Caenorhabditis elegans: one gene and its partner. The protein of the gene in region 2 interacts with the protein of the main gene of each other region in a pairwise test. Each region holds a gene or a part of one and is shown on either strand. Other genes may lie near its edges.

Region 1 (3,929 bases), on a different chromosome or scaffold from region 2:
AATGCTGTCAAAAACCACTGCGTGGTTCGGACCACTCATTTTTGTATTCTTCAGAAGTTTACGTAGAACCGTGGAATAGAGTTTTGAGTAAGAACTTCGGAAAGAAAACAGAGACGAGAAATAGAAGAAACAAGATTTTCAAGTTCGAAGTTTTTTTTTCTTCTTCCGAAGCTGCAATTACAGCAAGAATGTTGGTCATGTCATCAAATCTACATGATCGCTTCTCTTCTAATGACTGGGTGGAGAAGTTGGAGAGCCAGCGCTTTCTTACTTGCAAATGTAGTCAACAATGAAAATGAGAAAGATAAAACGCAGAATAGAACTCAGTTACCATTGACGTATGCAAGGATGACTGTCTAGGATATGACACCTGTTTCAGAAGACTTTGTCAGGGCAACTTGGCTTAGATTCATTTTATTTATTTATCTATGTAGATGATTGTTGTATGAATTTGAATCCTCATATCGAAATTGTCTAACTATCAGAGAAGATTTTGCAAAGCCTTCTGTATCACTGTTGTTTCAGTTATAAATTTTGGAATCCTTGACGCAGCCATACGGGGAGTATGACAAACCTCTAATTTAGATTTCTCTAGCAACCACCTATCCTATAATTACTTATGAATGTGTATTTTGGCGCAGCATGCTGCTGCGCCTAACTTGAAATAAATGACTATCAGAAGGCAACAGCGTCGGGAATGGGCAGTGAATTACGAAGCTCTCCTTTGATTGATAACAAACATGGTATAATTGTATATATTCGCAACTTTTTGAATTTCCAAATTACTACCCTATGGTCTCGATCAGTGCTGCGCTCCATTGCTCCATTTTGGAAAGATATACTTCGGTCCATTTTGAAGATATCATTAAGCAGTTAATTAGGCAACTATAGAAAAATAATTGAGCATTATTTATTCTGTTTTTGTTGTATTATAAAAAAGAAGAGAACCATAATATGAGCAGCAAAGTTTAGCAATAAAGTGCAGCACTAATAAAGAGTATTTGGGCAAGCTGAACTTGCCACTCATTTGCTTTCTTTTCATTTTTGAAAAATACAATTTGAAGTATACACGGCATTAGTTAATATTACAATAATCACAATGTTATGCGGTTTTTTCAAAGTTTTTAATTTTTAACCTTTTGTTGTTAATTTTTTGAAGTGTTGCATTACAACTGTCGTTAATTTTTTGGCTGTTGACTAGAGAAATAATGGAATATTTGTCCTTGTCACGTAACATTTGGTTAATCGAATACATTTTCTTTTCCGTCTCCTGTCCTCTCATTCTCATTTCAATTTCCATCCGCTTCTTCTACTGCTACTCTTCATTATTTCCTCATGTGAGGAAGGCAAGTGAGCTACTGAGCACGCCTGAGCATACGCACTTTTTTCTTGCAGTGAATCAGATTTAATGAGAACTGCATGATTGGAGACGGAATAAAAAGAAAAAAAAAGAGGTCGGAGCAAACATAAAGGGGAGACATAGTTTTTTATAATATTTCGCAAAGTTCACGTTGCGGAACGAAATTGAGGGACCATAAAAAGAATGAAATTAATTTGAACTTTTGATTCTGAAGTGTGTTTCTAAAGGTTTTAATTTATCACCTAAGTTTTTCTCTTTGGGGCTAATTACTGCTTAATTAACATTCTCTGACACAGAATTAACATAGAAAATGCTATATAAATCTTGTTGTCTTAAAAAAACAAGCTTATACAAGTGTCAAATTAACGAAAATTTGGTTATGACCTACTCAAACAATTAAATTCAACGCAAAACTCAACTAACCTGACATACGGTTTACCGCTTGGTGAAGAATTGTGAGTGACACAAACGATGATTTTTCCAAAACAACTTATTGCACATGACATGTTTGCCTCTGAAAGTTTATCCGGTAAAATAAACTTCAAACAAAACATGAATTTAAAGGAAGAAAAAAGTTCAAAAAGGAAAAAGTTTAGAAAATGAATAGAACCTCATTGAAGAAAAAACCTTGATGAGAAGAAGAGGATGGGACACTTGTGGCTGTGGCGGAATATATCGATGCCTCGCGGACACACGCATACATAATACTAGAACCACTTCTTTCTTTTTTCTTTCCCTTTTCCCTTCATTCTCTCACTATATTTAATGAATATATGGATGATGAGTGAAAATTCAAAAGATACTGGGGCCACTGACGCTCTGGAGGTCTCGTGTCATGCGATCCGTTTGACATTTGGCAAAAGAACAACTTTTTCAGATTTTCAAGTGTTGAAAGTTAAAACTATTATAAAAACACAATTTGGATTTAGTATATATTTTTTTAATTTGCTTAGATTAAACAACTGTAATGTTTCAATTTAAAAATGGATCACCCCTGCTTTAGCACATTACTTTTGTAAAATTAAAATTCCTTAATTATTAACAAAAAAATTAGCAACATTTTACAAATCTCTACATTTCAGGAAGAAACTGAAAATTTTCACTTTTTTTTCAAAGCAAATATACAAAAAAACCAGAATAGTTTCCAAAAACATTTTGTCATGTGTGAAACCGTTTAAGGCGATTGCGAATGAAAGTGTGTGGGATGGAATATGATTATTGTTGCATAAAATATGTTGTTCTGATTTCCCATTCCAGAAATATGTAAACATAAATATTAAACTTTTACTGCGGAAATTTAAGACAAAGTTATTCGAAATTATAGGATTTTCCTACTACTAGATTCCACATTACTTCCAAATCAAAAAAATTAGCATAAAAACAAGATTTTAATTGTTTTAATTAATTTATTATTTTTATGAGAAAACATGTTAGCCCTTTTGTCAAGTTTGACCACAGCTACAAAGTTTAAAAAAACACAACATGTTTGGGCACTTGAAACAAAACCAATTGGTTTGTTGGCTTTCCACACAAGAGAAGAAAAAAAAGCAAAAAAAAAACTGAGAAAGTCAGTTTTTTGTTAGTTTATACGTTTTTTCAATGTTCACTTAAACACCTAAAAGCAAATGTTAAAATGAAAAACATACTTTCCAAATTAGCATTTCACTGAAGACCAAAATACTTGCATTCAATTTATAAATTGAGCTAGCACACCACATTTCACGGATGCAGTCTAATGGGTTGTGGTTTTTGGCACTAATGTATAGGAAATCATCCAATTGAAACGAATTTAGGGCTGGAACTGTTAAGTTTTCAATTTGAATACGTTGAACAATTTAATAATGTCAATAAAAAAAATTGGTGGAAATTTGAGTACAGAACACCTAGTGTTCCTAGTGTTTACAGTAACCCTACAGTACTCTCACGTACTAATCATTCTTATTTTCAAACAGCTAATGAATCTTTCTGATGTTAAAAATTACTTCACTGAACATTTTCCACAGAATCAGTTGTTTTTCGAACCATCTCAAATGCTCCGCAAAAAAATGAACTTTTATTCTCAAATCACCTACGCAATTAATATGTACTGGATTTTGCAACGACATGAAAAAAAAATACGAGGGCAATATTGACATTTGAATGAACAATGCTAAACAATAATAGTGGATCAAAAAAGATTTGATCACTGATCCCTCGATGAAATTGGATATGAGAATGGTATGTTTAATTGAATTGAAAAACTTCTAAGCGATCAATGTAAGAAAAACAGTGCCTGGAACGAGGGTTAGCGAACATTTGTTATAGGATCTTTGAAAATACGTTCATTTGGTAGTGCGAAAGGGATTTATACCTTTTTTTTTTCGGCTCTTTATTTTACTTCGGTGATATTATTTTTACAATAAAGTTGATTAAAAAATATTTAGGAGTATGTTTTTTTTTTGAAAGATAAATCAAGGCCGACATTTTAACTAAACCATTGTAAAACTGTTTTCTGTTTTTGAGCACAAAATAATTAGGTTGCCTCGTGCACTTTAACTTAAGAATCACTTCTCTTCGTAACCTTTTTTTC
Region 2 (3,929 bases):
TTCTTCTCCAGTTAGTTTCATTAAATGATGTAATGCCTTTCCTGGCTCCAACTCGTAGTAACTGAAAATGATAAAAGTCTAATACTGAAAATAATTTGTAAAAATCATACTCCACGTTATACTGAGCCGCTACAAAGTATGCCCATTGGCGATTTTTACTGTAGATGACAACTTTTTGAGATATTTTACGAGCGTTCTCAATGAACAAGTTGACGTTGTCAAACTTTGCAGAGAGGTTCTGAATAAAAAATATTTTGAATATCTTCTGTTTAGAAGCTCAAAATGTTACCTTAAACGGTTGAACTGGATCCACATCAGTTTCATGAAACAAAGTGAGAGGAATCATTACAAGATGCCCATCCCGTCTAGTGACACTTACAGCCAGTGGCAAATCGTTTCCGAGACTCTGAAAATAAAATAGTTTAATTCTAAAATAAAGGCCTTAAATTTCTTACAACGACATGACTTATTCCAGCAGATGCCAACTCATCTCTGTCCAATAACTCTCGATTATCCGTAATGTACATGTACTCTGCTATTTTTATGAATCCAGCCAATATCTTTGATTGATCCGTTTCTGGTTTGATATAAGGAACAATTTCTCCTTTTCCATTAATCTCACTCAAAGTTATCGCGTTTAAATCGTTTTCCATTGATTGTTCGAGGGATCTGACTTGGATCAGCTGCAAATTTCTCAACGCATTTTAATAACTTCATAAGCAGTTTTAAAAAAACCGCTGTCATTTTTTTTCTCTTACTGCATTTTTATTTTTTCATAATGTTGTACCAGTTATAGCCAAAGATTAAATTACCTACATTTGAAACGTTCCCGAGGCCTGGAATAGAGACGATTGAATTGTTTGAGCCTGTTGAATTTGTTCTGAAATTATTTTCAATGAGTACTGGCGTTTTTATCATATTTATGGGACGCGTTTAAAAATTTATTCGTCACAATTTTCAACTTTTGAACTTCACATTTATTTTTAAACACTGCCATAATTTATGCAAAAAATTACTGTGCCTCTATATCTATAATTACGGGAAGTAATCATTAGATGAGAGTTTTATTATTAGAAAAACTTAAATTATATATTGGACAATATGAAAAAAAACGAGATACGTAGAATGTTTTAGTAGAAACAAATCGAGTGAAGAATATGTTTCAAAGTGTGTTGGCATGTACATTTTCCCCCGTTGCTAAACACTTTCCATGGGAACTTTTCCTATAAAAAACGCACACAAGAGACTCACAGAAAAAGCATGGAAATTGAAAAAAACTTAAGTTATAATTTTCAAGACTATTCATGCAAATAACTTTTTAGATTGAATTGAAATTTTTAAAACCTATTGAAACAGGGTTTTACATGAAAATGAATGTCGTGTGGTTGAAACACATTTTGAACAAAACTCAAATAACTTTAGAGTGTTGATTAGATGTGCTTTAGTTTTTTGAAAATTAATTAAACAGAAGTCTAACGGTGAAAAATTATTTCTACAACACGACTACAGGCTTTTGAAGTTATATATATTCTTTCTAAACGCTGAGCAATACGTTTGTTTTTGATTATTTAAAGTTTATAAATTTGAAAAAAAAACACCAAACTATCATGAAAAATTTCTTAAAACTTACTGAGAAGAATACATAAGCGGAATAGAACTATCACCGTCAATAGGAATCGGTCCATAGCTGTTGGTTGTAGCAGAACGGGCAAAATGAGATCGACGACGAAGTGTTGATTGATTGATAACAGCAGCAGCAGAATTGAGCATCTTGCCAAAACGAAATCTTGCACGACGAGATATGCTGTCCATTATTTGAATTTAAGCAAGTTATAAATATGAAGAAAAAGAATTTAAGAAAGGGAGCTCTGTGCAGAGCATATATAAAGTAAGGCAAACTGGTAATTTGAATGAGAATTCGAGAAAAAAGAAGAATAATGCACAAAAAGTAGGAAGGAGGAGCCAAGTTGCCTCGAGCCACCAGAGATATCAAAAATGTGTTTAAGAACTTCTTAATTGTAAAGATATGAGTTTAAGAACTTCTTAATTGTAAAGATATGAATATGAATGATTTGTGAAACAACTGAAAACATCAAACAATACAAGTTGTAGTAATCAGATGGAAATTTACACTGGGGATCTGCCACAGCACCATGAAAATAGTAGTGTCTGATACTATACAAAACGGAAAAAACAAAAAAAAATTGGGTTCAATGAAACCATAATTCTAGACACCTCGATTGAATACAAAATGAATACAATAAAGTCGGAAATAAAAAGTAGCCTAATCTACAACTGTAAATTGAAAGATTTGAAATCGCTAAAAGAAAAATGAATTTCTGAATTATGGAATTATGGAAAAAAAATCTGTTGAACAAAACAAAAGTACTAAATATTCTTCATTTCCATAATAGTTAAATTTAGTTTATGAGTGAGTTAGTCACACAACATTTCAAAATCCAAATTTTTATTTCATTTTAACTGTTGCTCATTGTGAACAAATATGTCTACTTCCTTAGATTTGACAGGGCGACCTTAAAAAAGGGACGATCCGTTCTATAGACTGCGGATCTGGGAGTCAGGTACATTGCCTGGTGGTACCTCACTGGGCTATAATTCAAGTCATGCTCTAGCCTGGGACTGTAACCGGTAATCCAGTCGTGGATTACTCCACTTCCCAATAAAGACAGAGTGAACATAGATGTTTTTAAACACTAAAATCTTACGAACATCTTCATTATAAAAAATCGTATTTTTAATTGGTCAAGCCGTTCCGCTTGCTGAGTTTCTCTCAATTTTCATGAAAAACAGTCATCTTATAATAATTGATATTTTACTTAAAAATTGTAGATAAACGCATTTTTCTTGGATGAACGGCAATCAGAGTAGTCTGGTATGGGACAAAAATTAACAATACCGCATACAAAATCTCAAAATACAAAACAAAACCTTTAAAGTAGTATCTAATAGTTATTCAAAAGTAGTACGAAAATTCCAAAATAATTTTGGTTTACTGCGAACTAGGAAAAATTCTCAAGAAGAAGGGAAAATAACATGAGATGGGCGGTTATCAGAAACTAGTGATTATAATATTGGTGCCTAGTTTCTCTATATGTTGCCTCAGTAACGACAGCAAAAATATTATCACTAGAATAAATATCTTATCAAATATCTAAAGAAAACTTCTTTTAAAAAGCAAAAGAGCTGAAGTATATATCACCTAACTAGTAAGTAAGTTTATAAAGCTTCAGTCTTCCACATGATTGCTTCTTTTAAAGTTTATCAAGTACAACAAGTTGAGTCATCTCCCTCTTCTGATCTACTACTATTCACCTCATTAGTTCAAATCATGAGCTAAATTGAATTACATTTATTTACGATTCAAATAATAATCAGGTGATAGAAAACAAAGAAAAATCATCCATAAATTGAAATGTCAACAACAAAACTGATTCATTGCTCTCTTCTGATGTCTGGACGATAGTCCGGGTTGGAAACTTCCGTAATCTTTTGAGCGTACATGTCGAGACGGTTTGTCATTCTGAATCCCCAAGCATCCTTGCATTGACGACACAGATTTAAGTCGAGTTCAGCAATGAGAACTCCCTCACGAACACGAGATAATGCCTGAAAAAAATATGTATCAGATTTGTTCAAGCTATTTTTTTTTAAAAGAGAGAAACAGTTATAAAAATTTTTGAGCAGTTACTCATTGTTGAAGTTTAACCTCAATAAACTCACTGGAGTACGGCTACCATCAGGAGCAGCAATATAACTGGATCCATAAAAGTGACCGAAGTCTTTGTGCGCTGGTTGCCCATTTCCACTGGTAAATTCATTTGGGAAGACTTCAGTGCCCACGCGGTTAATTCCAACTGTGAAGACGTGATTGGCAATGGCAGCATTTCGTGCTTCGATACCCCAGAGTG

What was found.
Region 1: the proteins of F13H8.6 (region 2) and rgs-2 interact in a two-hybrid assay, tested with the Caenorhabditis elegans proteins (one large-scale study listed by BioGRID).

The regions. Positions count from the first base shown.
Region 1 is NC_003284.9:12,710,598-12,714,526, reverse strand, and holds the start of rgs-2 (RGS domain-containing protein), read right to left. Parts: upstream 1,875-3,929; 5' UTR 1,867-1,874; coding exon 1,784-1,866; intron 1-1,783. UniProt on the Caenorhabditis elegans protein: Weakly inhibits G protein signaling in nervous system, interacting preferentially with the G(O) subfamily member goa-1. In vitro, it acts as a GTPase activator of goa-1.
Region 2 is NC_003280.10:6,285,058-6,288,986, forward strand, and holds the start of F13H8.6 (DUF4238 domain-containing protein), read right to left. Parts: upstream 1,909-3,929; 5' UTR 1,813-1,908; coding exon 1,631-1,812; intron 881-1,630; coding exon 817-880; intron 684-816; coding exon 456-683; intron 407-455; coding exon 290-406; intron 239-289; coding exon 111-238; intron 62-110; coding exon 1-61. Other genes in the region: upb-1 (Beta-ureidopropionase), read right to left, coding at 3,454-3,627, 3,742-3,929.